4 linked regions of the Elephas maximus indicus genome follow. The protein of the gene in region 1 interacts with the protein of each later gene in a biochemical or structural test. Links are inferred from orthologs where the notes say so. Each region holds a gene or a part of one and is shown in the gene's direction. Other genes may lie near its edges.

Evidence for each region.
Region 2: the proteins of GRB2 (region 1) and AXL form a complex in vitro, tested with the Homo sapiens proteins (2 studies listed by BioGRID, with this or other methods). The link is inferred for Elephas maximus indicus from reciprocal best matches to the Homo sapiens genes GRB2 and AXL.
Region 3: the proteins of GRB2 (region 1) and FASLG form a complex in vitro, tested with the Homo sapiens proteins (2 studies listed by BioGRID). The link is inferred for Elephas maximus indicus from reciprocal best matches to the Homo sapiens genes GRB2 and FASLG.
Region 4: the proteins of GRB2 (region 1) and MAPK9 form a complex in vitro, tested with the Homo sapiens proteins (2 studies listed by BioGRID). The link is inferred for Elephas maximus indicus from reciprocal best matches to the Homo sapiens genes GRB2 and MAPK9.

What each region holds. Positions count from the first base shown.
Region 1 is NC_064837.1:65,722,142-65,729,705, reverse strand, and holds the start of GRB2 (growth factor receptor-bound protein 2), read left to right. Parts: upstream 1-4,547; 5' UTR 4,548-4,736; intron 4,737-7,564. UniProt on the Homo sapiens protein: Non-enzymatic adapter protein that plays a pivotal role in precisely regulated signaling cascades from cell surface receptors to cellular responses, including signaling transduction and gene expression.
Region 2 is NC_064829.1:109,947,743-109,954,906, reverse strand, and holds the start of AXL (tyrosine-protein kinase receptor UFO), read left to right. Parts: upstream 1-4,149; 5' UTR 4,150-4,601; coding exon 4,602-4,665; intron 4,666-5,782; coding exon 5,783-6,005; intron 6,006-6,339; coding exon 6,340-6,440; intron 6,441-7,164. UniProt on the Homo sapiens protein: Receptor tyrosine kinase that transduces signals from the extracellular matrix into the cytoplasm by binding growth factor GAS6 and which is thus regulating many physiological processes including cell survival, cell proliferation, migration and differentiation.
Region 3 is NC_064821.1:210,464,819-210,472,251, reverse strand, and holds the start of FASLG (tumor necrosis factor ligand superfamily member 6), read left to right. Parts: upstream 1-4,426; 5' UTR 4,427-4,524; coding exon 4,525-4,860; intron 4,861-5,441; coding exon 5,442-5,487; intron 5,488-7,433. UniProt on the Homo sapiens protein: Cytokine that binds to TNFRSF6/FAS, a receptor that transduces the apoptotic signal into cells. Involved in cytotoxic T-cell-mediated apoptosis, natural killer cell-mediated apoptosis and in T-cell development.
Region 4 is NC_064820.1:202,713,832-202,720,797, reverse strand, and holds the start of MAPK9 (mitogen-activated protein kinase 9), read left to right. Parts: upstream 1-3,946; 5' UTR 3,947-4,152; intron 4,153-6,966. UniProt on the Homo sapiens protein: Serine/threonine-protein kinase involved in various processes such as cell proliferation, differentiation, migration, transformation and programmed cell death.

The sequences.
Region 1 (7,564 bases):
TTGAGCCTACTTCTAGGGGAGAAGGTTAGATGTAAGGCTAATTGTATACAGGCCTCCAAAAAAAAAAAAAAAAAATTGCGGTGGAGCAAATTTTGACTGAGGGCGACCCCATGTGTTGCGGAGTAGAACTGTGCTTCATAGGGTTTTCAATGGCTGACTTTTTGGAAGTAGGTCTTCAAGGCTTTTTTCCTAGCGGCCTCTAGGCCAATGCAAACCACCAACCTTTCATTTTGTAGCCCAGCCTGTTAACCGTTTGTACTACAGACCTTCACAGACCTCCAAGGTAAGTAAATTTCAGGGCAATATCCAGTTTTCACCTCGAGGTGGCAGTACCATAACTCCCAGAAAGCAAAGCAAGATACTCTACCTGTCGACTAAAATGAACCGCAAACCCCAAAGAGAGACTTTTTGATGATTAATTTATGCATTATGAAATAACTGATGTAGCCAGTTTGTAATCAGCAAGTTTCGCAACAGTTATAACAGGTTTTCACATCAGGGCGTGACTTTGACTTCACAGCTTGCTTCTTCCCTCGTTTTCAGAATTTAACGTTGGCGGCCATACGCATTCAAAACACTACTGCCTCTTCTGTGTTTTCTCTGTGGGGAATGATCTCTGGCAATGCTCTCTCAAGCTTCAGAGTCTGCGTCTGCAGAACAATAACAAAAAGTAATGAAAAGATAATGTAGCACTGTTTTTTTTTTTTGGTCACCCACAATTGCTCCATTTCAACACAAATATTTTTATTTTTAAATATTCCCTTCCAAATCTGGTCCATATGCATATAATTTTACATAGGAATACTCAGAGACGGTTTTATCAATGCTGCATTTTAAAAGGAAGTACATAACTTTTTTTTCTGCTCTCTTAGGCATCTAGTCTCTTCTGAGATCTTACTTCCTTAGCTTCAAATACCATCACTGCACAGAAGAGCAGCCACAGGTTTATCTCTAGTCAACCTTCATTCTTCAGCCATCTATCCATGTGTTCATTCATCCATCTACTTAGTCACTCTGTGAATCCTATTTTGTACCAGGCACTGTGCTGGTTGCTGGGAATACAAACATGAAAAGGTGTTTGTCCTGGAGCTTGCAGACCATTAGGGGGCAGGAAAGCAAGCAAATAGTAATAATGCAGTGAAATGAGATGTATGATGGGAATTCTGGAGAAGGAGCCCTAAGGCTGACTTGGAGAACTAAAGAAGGGGAGAAGGCCAACCAGGCAGAGGAAACAGCATGTGCAAAGATAAGGACACTCAGAAGATCTGACACTCTCCGGAAACCACAAAGGGTTTAGTATTGGTGGAGCCTGTGTTGGGGGAAGGGGGGAAGGTTGGGTTGGTTGAGGAAAGGTGGGTGGGGCTGGGGAACAGGGGCCAGATATCAAAAAAACAAGGGCCTCAGAAAGGACTTGAGATACTATCTTGTAGTTGATAAATATCTCAGTTCCAATTGATTTTCCACTCTGCAGCCAGCATGACAAAGAATTTTGAAGTATCTGACCATGGCCCATCTCTGCTTGAATATCCTAGAGAACCAAGTTTCAAGTCTTCAGCAATGCTGAAAAGGCCCCACATGAGCTCTCTGACCTCCAGACATATGCCACGTTCTTCTTCCCTTTGCCTTCTTCTTCGCAGCTAGAACTGGCATCCTTGAGTTCTCTCTTACTGTCCGGCCCTTGCACATGCTGTACCCTCCATCTGGAATACTCGTTCCCTCTTAGACTGGCTAACCAGGGTCTCAGAGCCTCTGCGTGGTGCTAACAGTTAATGCTCTTGGCAGCTAACCAAAAGGTTGGAGATTCAAGTCCACCCAGAGACACCTCAGAAGAAAGGCCTCGTAATCTACGTGATAAAAGTCAGTCACTGAAAACCTATAGAGCAGGTTGAGGATTGCGGTCTCGGGGAACATCTAGATCAATTGGCACAGCATAGTTCATAAAGAAAATGTTCTACATCTCACTTTGGTGAGTAGTGTCTGGGGTCTTAAAAGCCTGTAAATGGCCATCTACATATATTGGTCCCATTCCATCTGGAGCAAAGGAGAATGAAGAAAACCAAAGACACAAGGAAAATATTAGTCCAAAGGACTAATGGGCCACATGGACCACTGCCTCCACCAGCCTGAGACCAGAAGAACTGAATGATGCCCAGCTACCACCACTGATTGCTCTGGCAGGGATCACAATAGAGGGTTCCAGACAGAGCAGGAGAAAAATGTGGAACAAATTCAAATTCACAAACGAGATCAGACTTATTGGTCTGACAGAGATTGGAGGAATCCCCAAGACTATGGCCCCTGGACACCCTTTTAACTCAGAACTGAAGCCACTCCCGAAGTTCACTTCTCAGCCAAAGATTAAAAAAAAAAACAAACCCAGTGCCGTCAGGCCTATAAAACAAACAGTAACACACGTGAGGAGTATGCGTCTTAGATCAATCAAGTATAGGAGACCAATTGGTCAAAACCTGACCCAAAGCAAAGACAAGAAGTCAGGGACAGAAAACTGGAAGAATGGAAAAGGGGAACCCCAAGAGGAAAATGGGGCAGGGCCGACACACTGCAGGAATTACAATCAATGTCACAAAACAATTTGTGTTTGAATGAGAAACTAATTTGTTCTGTAAACTTCCTCCTAAACTGCATTAAAAAATAAAAATAAAAAAAGAACCTATAGAGCACAGTTCTACTCTGACACACAGGGGGTCATCGTGAGTTGGAATGGACTCTATGGAAATTGGTTAACTGGTTATGGTTTAGTCCTTCCCTTCCATGTCTATTTTTCTGGCCGCCATTCTAGAACAGAGTGTAATAGTGGGGGGGGGGGGAACATGTGTTTTTGAAACAAGATGGGTTCAAATCTTGGGTCTGCTATATGTGGTTTCTTTGGGTAAGTTACTAACCTCACTATGCCCCAGTTTCTAAATTTGTAAAATGGGGATATTAACCACTCTATACATGAACTGGGAAACCCTGGTGGCGTAGTGGTTGAGAGTTCCACTGCTAACCAAATGGTTGGCAGTTCAAATCCACCAGGCGCTCGTTGAAAACCGTTTGGGGCAGTTGTACTCTGTCCTATAGGGTTGCTATGAGTGGGAGTCAATTCGACAGCAATGGGTTTATACATGAGCTGTGACTTTAGTACATATCAGGTGCTAAATAGATGGTCCTCTTGTTATTACCATCTCACGTCAGATATCTACTTACAAACCATCAGAGGTTGCACATCACTTAAACCTAAGCTAAGCTTCTTGGCCACTATCTCCTTATTCCTTCCCCAAATCCTGGGCTATGGCCAGTCTGAAATATTGGCTGATCCATCATTTTTCCTCTCTGCTTTCAAATTCCAGCTGAAACACCACGTCCTCCCTGACTACTTCAGCACGAGAACTGTAATGGCTCCCTCCTCAGCAGTCCTATAGGTCGTTCAGTGGTACTTGGTGCCAGCGACTTCGACTTGCAGACTAGGCAACTCTTCTCTAAATCGTAAACTGCTGAAAGCGGAGGTTCTGTCTGGTTCATCTTTTAGCCTGCAGAGTGCATTGCCAGCAATTGCTGATCAATAAATATCTGGTGAAAGAACAATTCCTCTTCCTTATTTCAATAGGCTTATTTTCTCTATAGAATCAGATGTTTGGTTATTCTCATCACCATGCCATTTTGCCGGTTTCCAGAGAGCACATTCACGTTAGATGTGTTCTGTTGCCTCCTTTAATTGGAATACGCGTTTGGAACTGAAAAGAGGAGTTTTTTCTCCAAGTCTCAGCTTCTGCCACTCCAGGGTACTCACCCGCCTCGTGCAACCATCGAACTACTTAGCATAGCACAGCACAGGACATTCTCTCCCGCCTCTGTTACCGTTGCCTGGGATGCCCTTACCCTGGCGAACTCCTACTCGTCCTCCAAGACTCAGCTCAAACGTCACATCACCTTTTCTGTGAAGGTTTTCTACCGTGGGCTGAATGGTGACCCCTCCTTCCATCCTTTTCCCGTTTTCCGCAATCCCCAAATAATTACAGCAGTGCTTATAGCATTATTTGCTTACTTTTGTTCAACTTCTCTAGGCTGTGGATTCCTCGAGGGCCGGATTTTTGTTCGTCATTGTATCTTATATACTTAGCACATAGTAGGCACACGATTCCATCAAAGTGAACCAGAGCGTTAATTCACCCAACACTGCAGTTTGTATGGACCGGACTCTCAAACATTTCAAGACCTGGTTCTCTATTTGGAGAAGCTTCATACTGCAGGGAGCGTTTTTGTTTTTGTTTTGTTTTGTTTCATTACCTTGGGTTGCTGAAAGGGAAACGGAAAGTGATTACGGTCTGGCAAGAAGTACACCTTCAGGTCTGAGGCGTAATTTACTCGCTCTGGCACCGAGCGGGTTACAGCGGCCCGGGGGCGGAGCCAGCCCGGTGCCACGGGCTGCGGGGCGGTCTGACGCGTGCGCCCTGGCACGCCGCTCGGCTCCATTCGCGGAGGCCCGGCCGCGGAGGTGCGCTTGCGCTTTGGGCCTCTTCCGCCGGGGGGAGTCTCGCGGGGGCGGTACGCGGCAGTTCTCGCGGGACCCCGACGAGGAGCGGAAGCGAGGCGGCTCTGCTGCTTCTGCGACCCGGCGGCTGTGGGGGTGACGGCGGCGGGAACAGGAGCTGCCCTCGGGGAGTAGCAGCGGGATCGGCGGCCGCTCGCACCGCTCGGAGGGGCCGGTCGGGCCGGAGCGGAGTCGCTGCGCCACGGTGAGTTCGGGCGGCGTCGCTCGGCGCTGCTCCGATGCTTCTTCCTCCCCGCTCGGCAGCGGGAGGCGGCACCCGGCCGGGCCCGGGAGTCCGGGCGGGCGACGAAGGGCGGAATCCCCGAGGTTCCGACTCCATGCTTCCCTTTTTGGGGTGGTTCCTTTCTGGGCACCGTCCTCCCACGGCTTTTGGCTCTGGGCAGAGTCGCGACCCGGGGGAAGGGGCCGGGGGCTCTCTGGGTGCCTCTCGGTTAAATCTAGTGCCTTCATGGTGAGGGTGTGCGCAGATGGGGCCCGGGAGGAGCCGGAGAGGCCCTGGGTGCTAATTCTGTGAGTCAGCCTGACTTCGCCCTGGAGGTGGGGGATCCGGATCAGGCTGCAAGCGCGGGGATGCTCCTGCGACCTGAACGGCCACCACGTCACCATCTCTCGGTGTCTTTGGCCCGAATTTTGCAAGGGAATCCACTAACCCTGTTAGTACCGGGAGCTAGAACGTTTGCTGCCGGAGCCAGTAGAAAATCAAGCCCAACCCGTTGCCGTCGAGTGATTCCGACTCATAGCGACCCTATAGCGAGAGTATAACTGCCCCACAGTGTTTCCAAGGAGCGCCTGGTGGATTCGAACTGCCAACCTTTTGGTTAGCAGCGGAACTATTAACCACTACGCCACCAGGGTTTCCGGAGCCAGTAAGGATGCCCTTTATTTCTATCTCTAACTTTTCGAGCGTCTCTTTAAAAAATATGTCAGGAAAAATAAGCAGCAGTTGGCTGGCACGCTCCGAGGAAAGATTTCGGCCAGAGGGAAGTCCTGGTATTTGTCGTTGGGAACGCTCTGCGTGTATATATAGCTGTAAACTATCTGACTTACGGCTTGTTTAGAAACTTATCCAAGGCTGATTTCAAGTGTTATAAAAATGCAATTTGCAGAGGAGCTGAAGTGCACTGGAGGTCTAACTTTGGGTGCTGTTGACTCGGAAAAGAGTCAAAGAGACGAGAGAAATTAGCGTTAATCTATTTTGGCTTTCTTGTCTGTCGTTGTGCTTTTTCAGTTATTGCCTTCCGTTTATTGCTGCTTCTCTCACTTGCCCTACAGACGCTAAATGCTTACTTGTGTAATGCAAGTCATTTGCCTCCCCCCCCTTTTTTTCTTCCCTAACCTACTTCCCCTTCCTCTTTCCTCTCCCCTCTCGGTACAGTTTTTCTTTCAAAAGAGGTTTCTGCCGTTGGGCGCAGTTCGTTTTCTCCCTCATTTAAAGATCCCGTTTTCTTGCACGGGAAAACACCCGCTTTCCTGCTTTCATTCCTTTACTTTTAAGCTTCCACTGTGTTCCTTCAGTCAGCCAGCAGGGTTGCTAGAGAGCCGTGTGACACTGGAGTTCTCCCCCTGGGAACTGGTAGGCTCAAAGAATTGAATTCATCAGTAAGCAATCGATACTGCCGCTAGGTCCAGGTGTGGTTTGCTTCTGTTACGTGTGTTTTCGCTTTTCCTTCACTTTATGGTCGTGTTTTTGTGCCCGCTTTTGCTTCTCTTCCTGTGTGTCTTTTATACTTGTGAGGAAGATGGGGTCCATTTGGGGCTTAGATGACTTCTTTATAATTTTTAGTGGGGGTGGTTAATGCTAAAAGATGAAAATCGGTTATAAACCTGTGTTAGAATAAAGATGAGAAAAATGTATGGGAATAAAATTTATTCAGACCATTGATAAATCAGTTAAAGCCAAGCCAGTGTGATTGTTGTCAGTTGCCATCAAGTCAGTTCCGACTCACAGCGACTGAACACTGCCGGTCCTGCGCCATCCTCACAATCTCTTTGCTGTGCTTGAGCCCATTGTTGCAGCCACCGTGTCATATAAAAACCAGAAAACCAAACCCCTTGCTGTCGAGTCGATTCCGACCCATAGCGACCCTATAGGGCAGAGTAGAACCGCACCGTAGGGCTTTTAAGGAGTGGCTGGTGGATTCAAACTGCCGACCTTTTAGTTAGCAGCTGTAGCTCTTAACCACTGGGCCACCAGGGTACTTCTTTTTTCTTTATCAGACTCCTTTCTCTATCTGTTGTAATTAGTCGTTTTTTTTTTTTTTGCCAAAAAGAAATACCTTGATTTGTTCTGTTGCCCCTTCCGGTGTTTATAATTTATGAATCCCAAGATTAAAAAAAGACATTAATTCTTGTAATCAGCCTTCTTTGATGCCAAAATCAAGCGTTTAAATAAATGTTCGAGACAGTTTACTTCCTCAGCAAGTGTATTCAGATTTGGGAGGCGTACTTTTTAAAATTTTTGAATGGTATTAGTTTTTTTTTTAATTTGAATGCTATATTAGTTAATGATAACTTTTCAGTGTTTCTTATTATCATGTTGGCTGTGCAGCAAGTGTGTTCTAATTGTTGCGTAAATGAGAAGAGTCACGTATTTTGGAGAAATGGGGTTAATACAGAATTGAAAACCACCATACTCTCCTGAGAGAAATGAAGTTCCCTGACTCCAGAAGTATCCTGCAGCACTACTGAATGACCATTGAGATGCTTTTCTTTTTTCTTAAATTTGTCGAGGCTGCCTTTTTCCCAGTTGTGCCAGTTGAATACATATTATTTTCACTTTATGCAAAAACATTGTAGTATACTATCAGGAATGCAAATTTTAACATTTGGTTAAGGCACCCTTTTGTAGTACAGCAGCGATTCTTAAAATTTGGTATGCGTAAGAATCACCTGGGGAGCTTATTTAAAATCAAGTTTTGGGCCTAAGGCCACTATGTTGTAGAACTCCAGGGGGCACCCCACGGTAAATCAGTCTCTGAATGGGGTGATTTGGTGCAGATGGTCTGTGGGCCC
Region 2 (7,164 bases), on another chromosome or scaffold:
AATCTGTGGTGTGTTCTGTTGTGCATGGGTCTTCATGAGTCAGGCAGACTCGACAGCAGCTCACAACAACAATAATCTCAACCTGCTTTCTGCCTGTGGAAATTTGGAGGGAAAAGACCCCCCAAGTAGGATTTCTGTCTCCCTCAATCCAAGCTGGTATAATTCTTTTAGGAACTTTGTGGCTTTCCTATGTGTGGGACCAATAGCGGCGGGAGCATGTTCTGAGGTCTGTGAGGAAGTGAAAGAAGACTGGGGAGGGATGGGAGTGTTGAGGAGAGGGGTAGGGGGCCCTTTTAGGCCTTGGTGAGGAGTTTGGGGTTTTGTCCTGGGAAGTTTGGGGCAGGAAGGGAAAGGTTTGATTTGTGATTGAGAAACATCCTTGTGGCTGCTGAATAGGAGACAGGTCGGAAGGAGTGAGACAGGAAGCGTGGAGCCCAAGCAGAGTAGTTCAGGAGCCTGGGGAAGAGCCCGGGGAGGAGCCCAGGAGCTGGGGGAAGAGCCCAGGGAGGAGTTCAGGAGTCTGGGGAGGCACCCAGGGAGGGGCTCAGGAGTGCAAGGAGGAGCCCAGGAGCCTAGGGAGAAGCCCAGGAACTCAGGGAGGATCCCAGGAGCCCTCAGATGAGCCCGGGGGCTCGGGGAGGAGCTGGGGAGCTGGGGAGAAGCCCAGGAGCCCAGGCAGGAGTCCAGGAGCCCACGGAGGAGCCCAAAAGCCCACGGAGAAGCCCAGGGGCTCAAGGAGGAGCCCAGGAGCCTAGGGAGGGGCCCAGGAGTCTAGGGAGAAGCCCAGGAACTCAGGAAGGAGTCCGGGAGCCTAGGGAGGAGCCCAAGAGCTCAGGGAGGAGCCCAGGAGCCTGTGGAGGAGCCCAAGAGCTCGAGGAAGAGCCCAGGAGCCCAGGGAGGAGCCCAGGAGCCTAGGGAGGAGACCAGGAGCCGAGGAGCCCAGGGAGGAGCCCAGGAGTCTGGGGAGAAGCCCAAGAGTCTGTGGATGAGCCTAGGCACCAAGGGACAAGCCCAGGAGCCAAGTGAGGAAGCCAGAGCAGGGATCCCAGTGGCAAAGAACCAGGCTGGACCAGGGCATGATTGTGGGGATGAGAAGAGAGGTAGATGGGAGAGAGGTTTGTGAAGCTGAATCCAAGGGACTTGGTAACTACCTGCAGGGTAGGACTGTCCTGGAGGACCCCGAGAGTCAGGCATGGGTGCCAGAATGCCTTCAGGGGCCATCCCTGAGATGGGACAATGAAGAGACAGTTCAGCAAGCCAGATCGTGGTTGCCCAACTTATGCCCGTCTAAGGGGCTAGGAGCTACCTGGAGGCAGTGGGAAGCCACAGTTAAGCAGGGGAGGAACAGGGTCAGATTTGAATTTCAAAAACACCCCACTGGCTGCAGGAAGGGAGACAGTTTGGAGGGAAGACAGTGGAGGCCAGAATCCCAGGGAGGTACCCCAGCAGGAGAGAATGGAGTTGGACTATTTGGGGTGGAGAAAGGGTCACAGGTGACTGAATGGACAGATCTTTGTGATGACCAACAGAAGTGGCCAAGAGCAGGGAGATGGATGTAGAGACCCCCAAGGCATGCAGGGACCCCCATGTTGTTAGCTGCCTTCGAGCTGGCCCTGACTCATGGTGACCCCGTATATAAGGGGATCAGACCATTGTGAGCCATCAGGTTTTCATTGGGTGATTTTTGCAAGTAGATCATCAGGCCTTTCTTCCTAGTCTACCTTCATCTGGAAGCTCTGTTGAAATCTGTTCAGCATCACAGCAACTGTCTTAGTCATCTAGTGCTGCTGTAACAGAAATACCACAAGTGGATGGCTTTAACAAAGAGAAATTCATTTTCTCACAGTCCAGTAGGCTAAAAGTTCAAATTCAGGACATAAGCTCCAGGGGAAGCTTTCTCTGTCTCTGTCAGCCTTCTCATCAAACCTCCCCGGGACTAGGGGCTTCTCTGCGTAGGGACCCTGGGTCCAAAGGGTGCACTCTGCTCCTGGCATTGCTTTATTGGTGGTATGAGGTCCCCCCTCTCTGCTCACTTCCCTTTCCTTTTTATCTCTTGAGAGATAAAAGGTGGTGCAGGCCACACTTCAAGGAAACTACCTCTACATTGGATCAGGAATGTGACCTGGGTAAAGATGTTACAATCCCACCCTAATCCCGTTTAACATAAAATTACGATCACAAAATGGTGGACAACCACACAATACTGGGAAACATGGCCTAACCAAGTTGACAAATATTTTGGGGGGACACAATTCAGCCCATGACAGCAACACCCAAGCCTCCACTGACAGACAGGTAGTGGCTGCACTTGAGGTGCACGGCCAGGAATGGAACCAGTGCCTCCACACGGAAGGCAAGAATTCTAAATACCCTCAGGAACCCCCATAGGGGCACAGAGCTGGACATAAAGCACCGTCCACACAAAGGTACTACAGGGTCTGCAGGGACAGACCAAGACACATAATCCCAGCAGGGAGACACAGATAAGCAAGTGCACACAGAGAGACAACCAGAGACAAGATTCGAAAAATCGTGAGCAGTCGTCACCAAGTGCTAAGCACTGCGTACACTTTGCTATGTCATCCTCCCACTACCTAGCCAAGTGGGTTCTATTCTTATTCCCATTTCACAGATAGGCAAACCAAGACTCAAAGAGGCCAGTCACTTGCCCAAGATCACACAGTTAGTGGGAGGGCTGAGATTTCACGCCCAGTCTTAACCATTAGCTAAACCTCCCCATGTGTTATACCTCTGGACACAGGCCAGGCTTTAGACAGAGCCTCATGCTCCAAAGTGCTTGGGGGAACAGACCCAGAGGGGACAAGACATTCAGATTCAGAAAAGTAGGGTCCGGAGCAAGGGGGTTATGCCTGGGCTCACCAACCTATAGCCTGCATTCTAGTCTCAACCCTGGTGGAGTGCCAGGTCAGGGGAGAGAAAATATAGATCCCTGCTCCTGGCAACTGCAAACCCCCAGAGCTCACCAGACCCATAGAGACCAACTTGTCAATACTGCGGATACAGGCCCAGAGAGGGGAAGGGACTAGCCTGAGGCCACACAGCAAATCTTGGACTTGGGGGTCCTGCCCACCCCACCTCCTGGCCTAGGGTTCTCTTTGCTCTATTGCACTATCTCTGGAGGACCATGGAGGCCCCAGAACGAGGGGATGTGGATGGATGAAGCCTGGTAACCACCAACCCCAGAGAGATGGTGAAGACCAGGACCTTAAACTCAAGTGTCCCTCCACTCCCCTGGCCTCTGCCTACTGGACAGGGTGTAGGGAAAGGGCAAGTCACAGGTGTAGGGTCTGTTTGGAGGGCTTTAGGGGGTCCAGGGCTGGGAGATGGGGTTACACCAAGAGCTGAATAGCTTTTCCACCAGTATCAGTCTGGCTATGGTGTGTGTGTGTCTATGTGTGTGTGTGTGTGTCTGTGTGTGTCTACATGGCTGATTCCCATGTCTGACCCCCTGCGTACCTGTGTTTCTGCACAGCTGCACACACCCTTGGTTCAGTATTTCTGCGTCTGTGACTCTGTTTCCACGCGTATCAGCCCATCTGTGCCTGTGTTTCCATGCGCTCAGCCTATATGTGGGCCTGCATGTTCCCGCATCTGACTGTAACTCTGGAGTGTCTGTGCTCATCTGCCTGGGAATACGTCTGTTTCCTTGCGCGTCTGACTGTGTGTGTGTGTGTGTGTGTATCTGTACGTGTGCGTAACTCTGTGCGTCTGAGGCTCCATGTTCCCATGGGCGCCCACACACTGCAGTCCCCTCTATGTGTCCGTGTGGGGTGTTTTTTGTGTGTCTGACCCTCCTGTCTCCCTGCGTCCCCCATGGGCCAACGCAGTCGGGCCCTCCTGTTTCTGAGGTTTCTCTGGAAGTGAGTTTCTGACCCGGCTTGTCTGAGTGTGTCTGCGGGCCAGCAGCACACTGCTGCATGTCTCTGCCTGTCCCAGCTCTGAGTGTCAACAGCTGAGTGTGTGCGTGTGTGTGCCTATGTGTCTGTGTGCGTGTGCCCCTGTCCAAGGAGAAGCTGTAACAGTGAGGGGGAGTGAAGGGCCAGCCGAGGGAGGCCTGGCGGTGGCCAGGCCGGGGGTGGAGGCGGGGAGGGGGTTCCCACAGGCTGAGAGGGGAGTGGACTTCTGGAGGAATGTTTACCAGACACGGAGAGACAGCGCCCAGAGCCCCGAAGAGAAACACAGCCTCCTGCCTCCCGGCCCAGGATTAGGGGCGCAGCCACCAGGGCCCCCTTCCCCCTCCCCAGCCTCCCTCCAAGGCCCCTTTAAGACAGGGCAGGTCCACTCCTCTCTGCGTTAACCCCTCACTGCCCAGGTGGCCCCCTGGTGGGCGGAGGCAGTGGGGGCCAGGGGCGGGGAAAGGGCTGCCCCAAAGTCTGGGAGGGAGAGAAGAAGGCAGGGAAGCAGGCAAGGCTGCTGAGTAGAGCCGGCCAGGGGCCCCTGCTGTGCCAGGCGGGCAGTGCCAAATCCGAGGAGCCCGGAGCTGGGGGGAGGGCTGGGGACAGCCCGGCCCTGCCCCCTGCCCCGCGGGGTGCCTGGGAACTTGTGAGGAAAGTTTGGCATCAACTGCGTGGTCCCCGAGGATGGGCAGGGTCCCGCTGGCCTGGTGCTTGGCGCTGTGCTGCTGGGGCTGCGTGGCCCTCAAGGGTGAGTGACAGGGGCTTAGTGGGGCAGGGCCACTGCAGGGTGGGGGGCGCCGGGTGCGGGGCTGAGGGGAGCACGGGATCGGGGGTGGATGGCAGGTGTTGGGGGTGTGCATTCTGGGACAACAGAGAGAGACCCAGAGACTCAGACCAACCCAGAGGGGCAGAGGGAGAGAAAGAGCCTCAGAGAGAGGAACAGGAGGACAAGAAATAGAAACCGAGAGGGCCAGAGACGGGAAGAGATGCACTCGGAGAGGAGAGACAGACAGACACACAAGGCGAGAAGCTCCGGGACAGAGCCAAGGAGAAGCTGGGGTGGGGGGGTGGAGGCTAGGCTTGAGTCGGGGGCCTTGGGAAGAGGGGCTGAGCTGGGGGTAGCCTGGAATCTCCCAAAAGAAAGGAGCACAAAGTCAGGGAGAAGAAAGACGACCTCTGCCCCCCGCAACCCCCCCGCCAAAGTCAGGGAGAGGAAAGAGGACCACTACCCCCCCACACCGCCCCCCCCCCACGGCTGTCTGTCTGTCTTTAGACCTCCGTTTCTGGGGATGGGGGCTTTGTCTCACTGTCACCCGTCTCCTCTCTTCAGTCACCTTCTGTATGCCTATCTCCTCTTCCTTCCTCCTGGGGGAGTGTGTGTGTGCGTGTGGGTGTCTGTGTATGCGTCTGGGCCTCTCTGTCTCTGACTCCCCATGCCTGACTTTCTCTCTCTGGCTTCTCTCTCGCCTGTCCTCTGTTTCTCTCCCCTATCCCTCCCAGTCCTTGGCTTCCCCTCTACCCACCCAGCCCCGAGCGTTAAGTCTCTAGAGACCCTAAGGCCAGGCAGAGGGGGCAGGAGCTTGCCCTGCCAGGCAGTCCAGGGGGCAGTCCAGGGCGTGGGAGGCTGCCAGATCCCAGCAGACTTCCCAACGGACAGACAAGTGACCTAGTCCCCTAGGGAGATTCCCATCCTCCCCCGAAAGCCTCCGCCCTCTACCCCCTCTGAGGTCACTCTCTAGCTATGTGGGCCTGAGGGCCTGGCGGGGTCCTGGCAGCCGGTGGGCAGGCGGGGAGCAGGACAGGAAACAGAGGGGCCAGAGCGAAGCGGGGACCCCTAAGCTAACTCTTCCCTGTATCCCCTGCAGGCACAAAGGCTGAGGTGAACCCTTTTGTGGGGAGCCCAGGGAACATCACTGGTGCCCGGGGACTCACAGGGGCCCTTCAGTGTGAGCTCCAGGTCCAGGGGGAGCCCCCTGATGTGACCTGGCTCCAGGATGGACAGGTCCTGGAGCTGGCAGACACCACCCAGACCCAGGTGCCCCTGGGCGAAGATGAACAGGATGAATGGAAAGTGGTCAGCCAACTCAGGTGTCCAGTCTCCCTCCACCAGCCAAGACCCCCACGTCCCTCCTGACCCCTGTCCTTCCCTAGCCCCCTACCTCCATCACATACTGATATGGTGGGTAAAACAATCATGGGCCTGGAGCTAGACCACCCAGGTGGGAATCCCAGCCTTGCCACTTCCTAGCTGTGTGGCTTTCGGCATGTTATGTCACCCTCTGGATTTCACTTTCCCCTTCTGTGAAATGAGATAATAACAGTACCTATTTCATGGTTCTTACAGTTTTCCCCCACCCCATCTCAGTTCTGACCACTCCTTACCAGTGTCTGGCTCTGACCTAGAACCTCTCTGTCCTGTCAGAATCTCGTCCCTGCAGCTCTCGGACGCAGGGCGGTACCAGTGCATGGTGGTCCTGGAAGGAGAGACCTTTCTATCCAAGCCTGGCTATGTGGGGCTGGAGGGTGAGCCCTGGGGGTCAGAGGCCCTGAGGGGCCCAAGGACAAGGGGAGCTGATAAGTCCAGAGAGGTCAAGAATCTCTCGGGCTTGGAGGGTGCTGGAGGGTCCAAGGTGTTCTAGGGGGACATCCAGCCTGGGGATGACAGAGGTCTTGGGAGGTCAAGAAGCTAGGATCCCATAAATTATAGGGGGCAGGCCTGGGAGTATTACATGTCCCGGGGGAGAAGACAGCCTGGGGTACTCAGATGTCTTGGGGATCACACATAGTTAGGGATCAGAGGCACACACACATATACCTGACCCCCCCCACCCCCCGACACACACACACTTTCCTCATCAGTAAAATGAGATGAGGAGCCAAACTCTCTGGAGATGAGGCATGAGGGGTTCAGAGGTCCTGGGGAGTCAGGTATGAGAGGGTCAAATATTCGGGTGATGTGTCCTCAGGGGCACCCCTGGTGGCATAGTGTAAAGAGCTGAGCTGCTAACCAAAAGGTCGACAGTCAAATCCATTAGCTGCTCCTTGGAAACCCTACGAGGCAGTTCTATTCTGTCCTATAGGGTTGTTAAGAGTCAGAATCGACTTGACAGCAACGGTTTGTTTTTTTTGTCGTTGTTGTTTTTTTTTTCTGGTCCTTGGGGCAGAGGCCTTGAAGGGTCCAAATCTGAGGGGGGGCTCAGGTGTCCTGGGTGGTCAGACGTGGGGGATCAAAGACCCTGAGGGTAAG
Region 3 (7,433 bases), on another chromosome or scaffold:
CTAACGGATACATAAGGAAATACTCAGGATCATTAGCCATTAGAGAATGCAAATCAAAACTACACTGAGATACCATCTCACCCCAACAAAGCTAGCACTAATCCAAAAACACAAAATGATAAATGTTGGAGAGATTGTGGAGAGATTGAAACACTTATATACTGCTGGTAGGAGTGTAAAATGGTACAACCACTTTGGAAGTTGATTTGATGCTTCCTTAAAAAGCTAGAAGTACCATAGAAAAATAAGAGCACTCACACAAATAGATATATGCACACTCACGCTCATTGCAGCAACGTTCACAACAGCAAAAAGGTGGAAACAACCTAGGTGCCCATCAAACAATGAATGGATAAACAAATTATGGTATATTCACACAATAGAATACTATGCAACAATGAAGAACAATGATGAATCTGCAAAACATCTAATAACATGGATGAATCTGGAAGGCATTATGCTGGTTGAAATTAGTAAGTCACAAAAGGACAAATATTGTATGAGACCACTATTATAAAAACTCCAGAAAATGTTTAAACACAGAAGAAAACATTCTTTGATGGTTAAGGGTGGAAGTAGAGAAGAATTATCTTAGGCGGACAACACACTGTTCAGGGGAAGTCAGCACAACTGGACTAGACCAAAAGCTAAGGAATTTCCTGAATATGACCAAACACTTCGAGGAACAGAATAGCACTGGTGGGGATCTGGGGAACCATGGTTTCAGGGGACTTCTAGGTCAATTGGCATAACAAAGTTTATTAAGAAAATGTCCTGCATCCCGCTTTGGTGAGTGGTGTCTGTGGTCTTAAAACTAGTGAGTGGCCACCTAAGATGCATCAGTTGATCCCGACCAACCTGGAGTAAAGGAGAATGAAGAACACCAAAGACACAAGGAAAATATTAGCCCAAGAAACAAAAAGGGCCACATAAATCAGAGACTCCATTAGCCTGAGACCAGAAGAACTAGATGGTGCCTGGCTACCACCAATGAACACCCTAATAGGGAGTACAACAAAGAGTCCCTGATGGAGCAGGAAAAAAGTAGGGTGCAGAACTCAAATTCTAGTAAAAAAACCAGAATTAATGGTCCGACTGAGACTGGAGGGACCCCAGAAGACAAGGCCCCAGGACTCTCTGTTAACCCAGAACTAAAACCATTCCCAAAGCCAACACTGGACTATAAGACATAAAATGATACTCATGAAGAGTGCGCTTCTTAGGTCAAGTAGATACATGAGACTGATGGGCAGCTCCTATTCAGAGGTCAGATGAGAAGGTAGAAAGGAATAGGAGCTTTTTGAATGGACATGGGAAATCCGGGGTGGAAAGGAGGAGTGTGCTGACATATTATAGGGATAGCAACTTGGGTCACATAACAATGTGTGCATAAATTTTTATATGAGAAACTAACTTGAGCTGTAAACTTACACTTAAAGCACAATTAAAAAAAAAAGAACAAACAATTTTAGCATAACATAGTTTATAAGGAAAATGTTCTACATTCTACATTGGTGAGTAGCCTCTGGGGTCTTAAAGAAAAGATTATTTTTCCTAATTAGCAGTGTTCTAGTAGTGCCTCGAACTGTGAAGGGGTCTTTATTGTGCTGAGGGGTATGTGTTTTTTCCCCCATGATTTGGCTAAATGTGATGTTTGGCGGCATTACCAAAGAGGGACACAAGTGTTTAAAGCCTGCTCTCCTTGTCTCTATTTCAGTTCAGATTGTCCCTAAGCTTGGGGGACAGTGGGTGTGTCAGGGGCAGGGATGGGGCTTCTGAGTCCTCCTAGAACAATATGAATCAAGAGAAGAAGCAGGGCCGAGGAAGATGTACAAATACAGCATAGTTCTTATTGGAGAATCGTGGAAGTTTGAGATAAAAAGCGGAGGGTCCTAGCCTGAGGCAGAGGGTCCCGCAGTCCAGCGGTGGAATCTCTGAGAGATATTAGATGTCAAGCACAGAATTTGTGCTTTTCTCTGCAGCCCTTCTCCTCCCTACCAACTGGTTTATTCTTAACAGAAGAAGGTCAATTCCATTGTCTGTAGTTGAATTATTTGGGAGAGATCTGATAAACTAACAACAACTAACATTTCTTGAGGGCTTACTTTGTTGCCGGAGTCCACGGGTTGTGCGATAGCTAAGCGTTTGAAAACCTACTAACGGAAGGGTTGGTGGGTCGAGTCCACCCAGAGGAGCCTCTGAAGAAAGACTTAGTGATCTACTTCTGAAAAATCAGCCGTTGGAAACCCTATGCACAGTTCTACTTTGAAACACATGGGGTGGCCACAAGCCTAAAAGACTTGATGGCAACAGTTTTTATTTATGTATTTTTGGTTTCACCTTGTTGCCAGGGACTCTTCTAAAGGTATCTTATACTTTGACTCATTTAATCCCCACAGAGCCTTGTAAGGTAAGTACTATTATGATCATGCACATTTGGGGGATGAGGAAACTGAGGCACAGAAAATAGAAAGCGACCTGTCCAAATCACAGAGATAATAAGTGATGGAGCTGGAAGCTGCACCCAGGCAGTTTAACTCCAGGGCCCATTCTTACCCATCATGCAATACTACCTCTCTATCCTCCCACCCAGGATGTAGTCTATTTTTCCATGTATTTGCATCTTTGCCATTTTCAGTAAAATTTTGTAATTTTTAAAATATACACCTGTATAATTCTTGTTAGAGTTATTTTAGTATATTTTAAGGGCTTTTTATGAGTGTGGTAGAATTCTTAAAATTATATTTTCTAGCTAATTATTATTTAAACTTACTGTCTTAGTTTTTTCTCAGTCTGTCTTAGTTATCTAGTGCTGCTATAACAGAAATACCACAAGTGGATTGCTTTAACAAACAGAAATTTATTCTCTCACAGTTTAGGAGGCTAGAAGGCCGAACTCAGAGCACCAGCTCAGGGAGAGGGATTTCTTTCTCTGTTTATCTTCCCCTGGGTGTAGGAGTTTTCTCAGCACAAGGACCTCAGGTCCAAAGGACACGCTCTACTCTTGGCTCTTCTTTCTTGGTGTTAGGAGGTCCCTCTCTCTCTGCTCCTCTCTCTCACCTCTTATCTCTTACAAGATAAAAGATGATGCAGGCCATACCCCAAGAAAACTCCCCTTATTGGATTGAGGGCTGTAACCTGAGTAAGGGTGTTACATCCCACCCTAATCCTCTTTAACTTAAACTAATCTTGCCTCATTAACTACAGGCAAAGATTAGGATTTAAAACACATAGGAAAAGTACATCAGATCACAAAATTGAGGATAAGCACAGAATACCAGGAATCATGGCTTAGCCAAGTTGACCCATATTTAGGGGAGACACAATTCAATCCATGACACTGCCTTTAATGACTACAACCAAAGCCACATGTGAGTTCAAGAATTAAATTTGAATTTCAAATAAGCAACCTTTTTTTTAGTATGTTTCATACAATATTTGAGGCATACTTATACTAAAAATTATTCATTATTTATCTGAAATTCAAATTTAACTGAGTGTCCTGTGTTTTACCTGGCAACCCTAAAAGGAGCTGCAAACAGAAATTCCTACAGTGGTCAGGAAGCCATTTCCCACATGTGGTGGTGTGTGACACATAGTCGGGGGTGGGGACCCTGGGTGACCTGGAGCTTCAGGGCTCTGTCCACGTGGGCAGCTGCTACCCAGCTCACACCAACTGGGTTTGCAGAGATGGTCTTGAGTGTGCCCAGTCTTCTAATGTTTCAAGACAGAATTAAAACCTGTATTTTTGATGTGGAATCTCCTGATTTTAAAGGTAGACAGCCAATTAGAAGAAAAACATTGTGAGGTACAAATGAAACAGGCCTGTGGGTTCTGTAAGGCCTACGGGCCACAGGTTTGCAACTTCTGATCTAATCTCTAGATAGTGGGTGGGGCAGGGTTTTTTCTCCTGTAAATTCTGGTGTTTTGCAATGTCAGGGTAAACAGTATTTGGGTTAGGGGAAGGGATGGCAGCTCATGCAAAAGGTAAGATGTGGAAGTGGTTCCTCTGGCCACAACTCAATGGTCTCTCCCCTCAGTGCTTGAAAGCGCCCCGCTGGCCAACCTCTCTGCAGTTAGGCAGCAGGTTATGCCCACCAGGCTGGCCCCTGATTCTTACCTGCTCCAGCAGGTCTGAGAAAGAGGAGCCTAACCTACCAGCCTTTTCAGGTAGCAAAGCAACAGCAACTGGGACTTTGAATGCTTTCGTCAGAAAATTGTGGGTAGAAGCTTACAGCGGTTTACCCTGAGCTCCTTGAGGCTTTCAACTTCAGGCGCAAATTGCTCCGAGCTCCTTGAGGCTTCTCAGCTTCAGACGTAAAGTGAGTGGGTGTTTCTCTGAGAAACAGAAAGAGATCGAGAGAAGTGTTTCCCTTAGCTGTGGAAACTCTATAAAGAGAGCTCCGGCTTCCCTTTTCTTGAGCACTTAGCAACAGGAGTCCCCTCCTCTGACACCTCAGCCTACACAGGATCGAGAAGAAGTAAAATTCTTTGCCTGGAGGGTGCCCTGAGTTCCTGGCTGCCATGTGGCAGCCACTGAATTACCCATATCCCCAAATCTACTGGGTGGACAGCAGCTCCAGCTCTCCTTTGGCCCCTCCAGGGTCTGCTCTCCCCTGCCCTTCCTCTGTGCCTGGAAGACCCGGCCAAATGAGGCCACCACCACCCCCACCGCCACCGCTGCCACCACGGCCACCACTGCCTCCATTCCCACCATCACTTCTGAAGAAGAGACGGAATCCCAACACAGGCCTATATCTCCTCGTAATGTTTTTCATGGTTCTGGTGGCCCTGGTTGGACTGGGGCTGGGGTTGTTCCAGCTCTTCCACCTGCAGAAGGAGCTGGCTGAACTCAGAGAGGTAAGCCTGGCCTGAGGGGGGCTGCGTGCTGGGCTCACCAAGACAGCTCTGTGCAGTGGGGGCCGAGGACCACTGTGGCCCACTGCTTTCTTTGCCAAGTGCTTCTCAATCTTTTTTTTCCTCTCTTGGAAATGGGTTATTACGCTCATTCCATTCTACAGGCAGAGAAATAGAGAGCCATACATGTGAGGGGATTTTTTTTTTCCTCTGTCTTATAAAGGATCAGGGCCAAGATAGGATTAGCATTTACAATTCCTTTCTCAGTTGGCTAATCAGTCTGCCTAGCTATTTACTGCCTAACACCTAGTGAGTCAAAAAATAAAATAAACATTGATTCTTGCTTAGAAGTGGATTAGTTCAAATGGCCAAACTAAATCTCCTTGAAAATCCTTTAAAAATACTAGTACTATTCCAAATCACAAAACTGAGCTAGAAAGGGCACAACTGCTTGGCAAAAGTCTGAGATCAGAGAGATTCTGAGGTATTTGGGTTCTCTTTCCAGGGCTTGGTTTTTTTTGACAATCCTGCCTCCTTTGCCTAAAGGTCTTCATATTTATTACATATCTTTTCTCTTTTGCCAGTCCACCCGCCTAAGCCCTGTAGCATCATCTCTGGAGAAGCAAATAGGTGAGTCCTTTTATGTACATACATTGAATTCTCAAAGATAGTCCTCAACACTAAACAATGTTGGTGCAGTGGCTTGCAATCCTTCTCATTCCTGGGCATGTATATACTACGAGAGGGAGCCCGGCTAATTCCAAACCTCTGGTCATTACGGTTTATTCTGCTACTTTAAAATATGAAGTGAATTTAATTGTTCAAAATCAGTGTAGCTGAGTACTGTACAGAATTCAAAATAACTTGTACTTGACCTTGGATGGAGACACACACACACCCTGAACTTTTGCCTCCTGAACTGCTGGCTCCAGGCCTGTCCCCTTCCTCAGGCCTCCTGAGTCCGGTGCCCATGGCAGTGATTGTAACTCCCAGGGAGACAGAGTGGGGTGGAGACAGAGAAGGTGTTTCTGGGAAATGTTCTTTCCTTTTTAAACTTTCTAAAAGAGATTACTCAAGAGTCAAACTCTATTTTAAAAAAATATTTTATAAACTAAACTCAGCTTGTAATAACAGTACAGCCAATCACCTTCATTAGGATGGTTCTTCTGGAATGACTGGAAAGTTTAGGGAAGCCTAGCAACTATTCAAAGGAAAGTCCAGCTTCACACCTAGAAGCAGTCATGTGCTCATATCCTTTGTATGAGACTCAGGACAGGAAGAAGGTAAAGTTGTTGAACAGTGACCTCATGAAGCTTCAGGCCATAGTTTTTGAAGTGCTGAACAGATAGATTTTTAGGATATTCCCAATCTGTCTTAAACTAAGATTCATTGAACTCATAAGATTTGGTTAGAGTTGAAAGGGAGCTTAGAGCTTATTTGATCCAGCTCATTTTCCAGAAAAGAAACAAAATACCAGACAGATTAGGTGATATTCCCAAGACCACTGACATGGACCTCAGACTAGAGGAAACAAAGCTTTTGACGCTTCGTCACCTGTGGGGCCTTCCAGCATGCGGACTGGTGCCTCATAGGATAAGGAAAAGCCTGTCTCTCTGATGGCCATGGAATGAGAAATAAGAGGAAAGGCAGGATGCCTCTGCAAGTAGGCACATCTCATCCCTGGAAACCGAGCAGAACACAGAAGGCAGAGCTGGCCAGCCATTCGGTGGAGCGTGCTTGGGTTCTTAGGGGGTGCCTACTACAGGCAGCCCAGGTACCTTGCTGTCCTCGGTTGTAAGTTCTTGCAGGAGCAGGTGCTCTGGAACCCAGTTCTGGGTCAGAGCCCCTAAGTGTTAGAAAGTCCAGACATACACAAGCAGAGAGGAAATATTTGTTAGAAAAATGAAGACTTTGGAAGACTTCTAGAAGGAAGTAGCTTTGAAAACCAGTGGAATGGGGCTGGTGAAGAAGGCGCCTTATTACTCATCTCTCACCTACTCAGTGGAGTCATTTTAGTGAGGAAAAGTCAAACGAACAGATGACTCAGGTCTACCTACCCCAGGAAACATGTATCTTCTCTAGATTGACCCAGGTCAACCTGAAATGGGTGAAATATCACATGGAAATCAAGGTAGTAACTTTATCAGTAGGATAAGAAATTCAAATGGAGATAGGGGATACCTATTTTCATACATCAAATTGGTAAAGATTTAAAAAAAAAAAAAAGGATAATACCCAGATTGGCAAAGAGATGAGAGAAAAGGGCTTCCTTCAACATTAGTTGACAACCAGTGGCAATATAAATTGCTATAATTTTTCTGAAGAACAGTTTGGAAAAAGATATCAATAACCTAAAAGTGTTAACTTACCTTGAAATCAACGCAATATGAATTTGTCTTGAGAAAATAATCAAAGACATGCCTGGAGATTTATATAGAAGGAAGAAACCTCATGCCTTATAACAGAAGAGTAGTTAAATATAGTGAATTTAGATGAGAGAATACTATGCAGCAACTAAAAACTGTATGTTAGAAGGACATTTAATGCCACAGGGACTGCTATTGCATATTTTTAGA
Region 4 (6,966 bases), on another chromosome or scaffold:
TGATTTTTTAGTTTCTTTGTTTTTTAATTTTATTGTGCTTTAGGTGAAAGTTTACAGCTCAATTGTTTCCCAATCAAAAACTTATACACATATTGTTGTGACATCAGTTGCAATCCCAGCAATGTGACAGCACTCTCCCTCTTTCCACCCTGGGTTCCCCATGTCCATTAGTCCAGTTTTCCTGCTCCTTCCTACCTTCTCGTCTTGCTTTTGGGGAGGAGTTGCCCATTTGGTCTCTATTATGGATTAAATTGTGTCCCCCCAAAATTTGTGTCAACTTGGCTAGGCCATGATTCCCAGTATTGTGTGCTTGTTCACCATTTTGTCATCTGATGTGATTTTCCTTTGTGTTGTAAATCCTACCTCCATGATGTTAATAAGGCAGGATTAGAGGCAGTCATGTTAATAAGGCAGAACTCAATCTACAAGATTAGGTTGTATCTTGAGTCAATCTTTTTTGGGGTCTAAAAGAGAGAATCAGATCGGGAGGGGGGCCCTCATACCACCAAGAAAGCAGCACCTGGAGTGGAGCACATCCTTTGGACCCAGGGTTCCTGCCTGGAGAAGCTCCTGGACCAAGGGAAGATTGATGACAAGGGCGTCCCTCCAGCCCTGAGGAAGACTAAAAGCCTTCCCCTGGAGCTGGCACTCTGAATTAAGGCTTCAAGCCTACTAGACTGTAAGAGAATAAACTTGTTTGCTAAAGCCATCCACTTGAGGTATTTCTACTATAGCAGCACTACATAACTAAGTCTCATATATTTAATTGAACTAAGAAACACGTTCCTCACGTGTGTTGTTTTATAGACCTGTCTAATGGCTGAAAAGCGGGCTTTGGGAGTGCCTTCAGTTCTGAGTTAGCAGGGTGTCCAGGACCATAGTCTCAGCGGTTCCTCCAGTCTCTGTCAAGCCAGTAAATCTGGTTTTTTTTTGTGAATTTGAACTCTGTTCTACATTTTTCTCCCCCTCTGTCTGGGGCTCTCTATCGTGATACCTGTCAGAATTGGTCTGTGGTGGTAGCAGGACACCATCTAGGTCTTCTGGGCTCAGGCTAGTGATGGCTGTGGTTCATGTGGTCCTTTAGTCCTTTGGGCAAATTATTTTCCTTGTGTCTTTGGTTTTCTTCATTCTCCTTTGCTACGGACAGGATGAGACCAATAGATGTATCATAGATACATCTACTTGCAAGCTTTTAAGACCCCAGATGCTATACACGAAAGTAGGATGTAGAACATTTTCTTTACGAACTGTATTATGCCAACTGACCCAGGTGTCCCCCAAGACTCTGGTCCCCAGCCCTCAGCCCCAGCAACTCAGTCCTCAAGGTGTTTGGATGTATCTAGGAAACTTCTACGACTTTGCCTTGGTCAAGTTGTGCTGACTTCCCCTATATTGTGTGTTGTCTTTCCCTTCACCAGAGCTGACACTTTTCTACTATATAGTGATTTGTCCTCCTCATCCCTCCCCTCCCTCGTAACCATCAAAGAATGTTTTTTTCTGTGTGTAAACCTTTTCTTGAGTTTTTATAACAGTGATCGTGTACAGTATTTTGTCTTTGTGTTTGACTTATTTCACTCAGCATACCCTCCAGATTCATCCACGTCATGAGATGTTTCACAGATTCATCATTGTTCTTTATCATTGCGTAGTATTCCATTGTGTGTATGTACCATAATTTGTGTATCCATTCATCTACTGATGGGCACTTAAGCTGTTTCCATCCTTTTGCCATTGTGAATAGTGTTGTGATGAACATGGGTGTGCATACGTCTACTCATGTGACAGCTCTTATTTCTTTTTTTTTTTTTTTAATACTCCTAGGAATGGAATTGCTGAATTGTATGGTATTTCTAGCTTTTTAAGAAGGCACTACATCGTTTTCCATAGTAGTTGTGCCACTTTACATTCCCACCCACAGTGCGTAAGAGTTCTAATCTCCTCGAAAGGTCTCCAACATTTATTTATTTTAACAATGAGATGGTATCTCATTGTAGTTTTGCTATGCTGGTTACTCACTTTGCATAGGGTAAAGGGTGCATTTTAAAGGTGGATGTTGTAAAATCGGGCACAGTATGTGTCTGGGAATTGGTGCTCCCTTCCTAATCTGACCAGAAGGTTCCACAAATGCTCCTTGGTAGAATTACAACTGACAGCCAGGCTTTTACTAGTTTCCCCAAATCCCTGATGGTGGCATTTTTCATTCTCTGTTTTCTGGAGTGCAAATGAAGTCAGGGTGCCCGAAGCAGGTGGTAGGCGTCAATGAAGTATCAGCAGGAACCCATTAGGTGGGCCCTCCATTGAAGGCCACACTCAAGAGCTATAGTTAGTTTTAGAAACCTCCCTTTGGTGGCCATAGTGGGGGGGGAGGGTGGCCTAATGGGGACACCATGACTCGATCCCTTCCTCTACCCCACCCCTCCTCTGAGACCCTAGTGGTGCCACCAGCCTTGCTCGGCACTCGGGTCCCCTTGATACCTAGTCAGTCTTGCTGCCTTCCCCAAGTTCTGCCACCCATGCCTCTCAGTCCCTTGACCACCCATCTACGGGGTCCTGCTTCTTCTTCCTACCTTATCCCTTACCCCTAGTCACTCCATGGACCCTGGCATCCTAGGACTGTTGCTCCTTCTCCAAGGTCACCATTTGCCAAGCACCATCTCCTACTCTTCCCATCCCCAAAGTCTAACTCCCCCCACTCACACCCCATCCATTGGCCTCAAGCTTTCTCTAAACGCATTCAGCGTCCTTGCTTCACTTCCGTCTTTACTTAGCCACAGCACCAGATAAACTCTCATCTTCTAAGACACTAAGCCGGCAGTTACCTGACCCGAGGGCCTTGAGGGCTGCAGGAGAAGCCCCAAAAGCTCAGTGTCAACAGACCCCAGTCACTAGCGGGCCCTCAGCACTCTCGTTGTGTACCCTCCAGCCAATTCCGACTCATAGCGACCCCCTAGGACAGAACCCCATAAGGCTTTCTAGGCTGTATCTTTACATGAACAGATATTCAGGTCTTTTCTCCCGCGGAGCAGCTGGTGGGTTGGAACCGTCTACCTTTTGGTTAGCAGCCAAGCGCTTTGACCATTGCGCCACCAGCACTAACACCCTCCATTTACGGTTTTGCCCTTCTCCTCTAAGACCGAGGGATTGGACCCCGTTCGTTTCAGCCCTGCCACCAGACGCACCAGTCCATCCTCTCCTTCCCTCAGTCGCTGATCAACTGGGAGAGATTGTCTACACAGAAGCTCTCCATCTCCTCGGGCCTCCCCTGCAACAACTGGATTCTGACCGCATCCCCGAAAAGCCCCTTCACTGAGGCGCGCAGCTCCCCCAGCTGCAGTGAGCAGCGTAGTCGAAAGGCCCTGCGCCTCTCCTCCCACTTCCCCCAGGGCCGTTTCACGCCGATTCCCGGGCGACCCGGCCCCAGCCTCCCCTCGCCTTCGCCCGGGTTCTCCCCGAAACGGGCCGGCTCTCAGTCCACCTCCGGGACGCCTGGTCCCTGCGAGCCTGAACCCGCAGCCCCGAGGCTGGCTCCTGCTCGGCCCCACTGCGGTGAGGCGCCCCAGCCAGGTCCGCCTCCGGCCCGGATCTCGGTTTTGTCTACCCTCTCCGCCGCCTCCCGGGTCCGCGTCCGGTCGTCGTGCCGAGCCCTTCTTGCCGGGCTTGGGGGGCGGGCCGAGTCATGCTTGCGCCTCCAGCCCATGGTACGCACTAGGCAGGTCTGTATGCGGCGGCTGCGTGGCCCGAGCAAGCGCACGGTCTCAGAGACGCTGAGCCCCGCCATACCCCAACCGAGACCTCAGGCAACCGACCCGGCCGCAGGCTCCGCCTGCCGCCCCACCTGCCGCCTCGCCAGCACCGCCCAGCAGCGGGTGGGCCTCCTGGCGCAATTGGCCGCGTCGGCCCGGCTTTCCGCGAGCTGATTGGTTGGCCCTCCGGTCAGTCAGGAAAGGCGCCGCGGCGGCGGCGGCTGCGGAGGGAACCCGACCGGAAGGGTCGAAGCGCCCCGGAGCCCCTCACACCCACTGCGGCGGCTGGGCGTAGCGGGGCGGGGCGGCCGGCCGAGCCCGGGGGCAGCGGATCCGGGAACTGCCAGCGCGCAGCGCTGCCAGTCTGCCCGCCCGCCCTCTCCCCTTGGCGCGGCGGCGGGGAGGCGAGGTGAGCGCGGCGGGTGGCGAGAAGGCTAGGCCCGGCGGGGGCTGCTTGGTCCGGACCCCTCCGGCAAGGGGCGGCGGGAGGGCTAGCGGCCGGGCTTTGCGGAGTGGGCGCAGGGCTGCCGGATGCAGGCCGCGGGGTGGGCCAGGGCCTGCGGGGAGCTGGCGGTCCGGGCCGCCGCCCCTGCCCTAGAGGCTGCCGCAATCGCCCCCTTCCTCCCAGCTGTTAGCAGTCCCGGGTGTTGGCAGGCTTCCGGGCCTGGCCCCGACAGACCTGCCCGGGGGTGAGGAGTTGTGGGGGGTGGGGGCGCAGGAAGGGGTCTGCGGGTGCCACCCCTCCTGACTCCGGGGCGCGCAGCTGCACACACACCGGTGCTGCGATGCTCAGGAGCTCCGGGTCTGGTCCCTGCGACCTTGGCCAAGGCACTGACCCTCACCATGCCTCAGTTTACCCATCGGGAAAAGGACGAATTGTCAACACTTTTGTACAGAGTGGTTGTCAGGTTTGTGGCGGTGTGTGAAAGTGCGTGAGCCTTGTACACATTTGTGGGAAATCGGGCAGGATGGTGCCCCTTGCAGGTGTGAGTGGCAGGACAATCCCATCCCTCCCAGCCTCCAGCCCTTGCACTCTTCCAGTGCCTTGTTATTGCACACTCAATGCCCCTGGCAGCGCCTGAGCGGCCCTGCCCACCTCCTCTCCCGTCCCTTCCATCCATAGCAGTGTGCTCCTATCCCACTCACCTCACCTGCCTTGAAAATTCCAAGCCTCATACACCTCAAGACCTTTGCAATTGCTGTTTCTTGTGTTTGGAGTTGTCTTCTGGATCTTTACACAGCTGACTCCTTGGTGTTCGTTTCTCTGGACATCTCTGGTCGTATGTTTTCTGTGAGGCCTTCCTTGACCACCCTCTTTCTTTCTTTAGTCATTCTGTCTCCTTTGTTTAATTTTATTCCCAGTGGTATATTCTGGCTTGAAACTGTTCTGTTTGTCTGCCTGTTTATTTTCTGTTTCTCCTGCTAGGATGTAAGCACTAGGAAAACAGGTAGTTGTCTGATTTGCTCACTGCTTTATCCCAACTGCTTAGAAAGCACACAGTAAGTACTTAGTAATATCAGTTGAATGAATGAATGGATGCTTTAAGGAATGACCCTGCCTCCCTATTGCCTCTGGTTTATCTTTTAATTTAGTGACTTCTGATTAACTTGTGAGACCTATAAGCAGATGGAAGCTTGTTCTCATTTTGTGAAACGTTTTAATGTTCTTGACCTCTTTATTTGGTAACTGTCGGAACAAGCTGTCGATATGAAAGCATGTGATATTTTAGCTCCATCTTCCTTCCATTCAGTAGACATTTATGGAGTTCTAGATTATCTAGGTCAGGTTTTGTGCTAGGCCTTGGGGACACAAATGAGATGGCGACAGGGTCCCTTCCCCCAGAGAGCCCAGCAGGGAAAGCAGACATGCAGACAGTTTGTCCCAGGACAGCATGATGACTGCTATAGTGGAGGAGGCAACAGGTGGTGTTGGGGTTGGGCCTTGAAGGATGCTGAGAAGTTTGCCAGGCAAGGAGAGGCACGGAAGTATGACGAGGTTGGGGGTCAGGCTTTAGCCCAGTATGGAGCTGGAAGTCCGCCACAAGGCCAGGTGTAAGAGAGCACGGAGTGGTGGGGGCCCTGGACTACCAGAACCCCACCCAGCAATTTTTTAAAAGAAGCTAGAATTCCAGATTTTTGTGTTTACTCTCCTGGTTTTGTAAATATCTCCCAAACTTAAACCTACTGCCATCGAGTTGATTCCGACTCAGTGATTCCATAGGGTTTCCAAGGCTGTAAATCCCTATGGAAGCAGACTGCTACATCTTTTCTCTCATAGAGCCACTGGTGGTTTTGAACAGCTGAACTTTTTGGTTAGCAGTCAATTGCTTTAACCACTGCGCCACCAGGGCTCTTTTGTGTAAATGCTGACAGTAGTTAATTAATTACACACACTAAAAACAAGCAAGCAAACCAAAAACTGCTATGAGCCAAGCAAAATATAATAAGCCTCATTCAGCTTGGCTATAGGATTGTCATGCTCCAGGACAGGCTGTGTAGGAGGAAGTTGCTGTGATTCACTGGAAAGGTAGCCTAAGGCCAGGTACCAGCCCAGGTACTCCCACTTAATTGTTAGGAGCCCTTGAGTAACAGCTATGAAACCCATTTTTACAGACGAGGAAACTGAGGCTTATAGAGTTTGAGCAGTCTGCTTCAGATGAGCAGCTGGTAAGTGAAATTTGAACCCAGGTCTCCCCCAGATCCAGTGTTCTTTCCTGGGTCCTTCAGCTCTGAGCACACTCTTTTGGCCTTTGTTATTCTGTAAGAACAAAATCCAATCTAGATGATGTTTTCCTCTATCCATTTTGTTTGTTTCCTTCAAAAGGATCTCGAGGGGTTAAAAATAATTGTATTTTGGCAGTCTTCTCTGGAGAGCTTTGATATGCCTGAGAATTTTATTTTTAAGGTGCCATGACTTTAAATAATTTGTTGACAGATTAAAAGGTGTTTGTTTGGTTCCCTAAATAAATGTTAGAGGGTACACTTAAATTTCATATTTTTCTCTTTAAAATAAAGTCATCTTAATTATCTGGTTAAAGAAAAGTTTTGATGCAGCAAATACTGTGAGTAAGTACATTCTCAAACCAACTGTTTTCGTGATGAATATGGTAAAACAGAAAGCACTTTTTTTTCTTTTAACTCTATTGATTTGGTGGTAAAACCCAAAAAACCAAACCCATTGCCATCGAGTCGATTCTGACCCATAGCAGCCATATAGTACAGA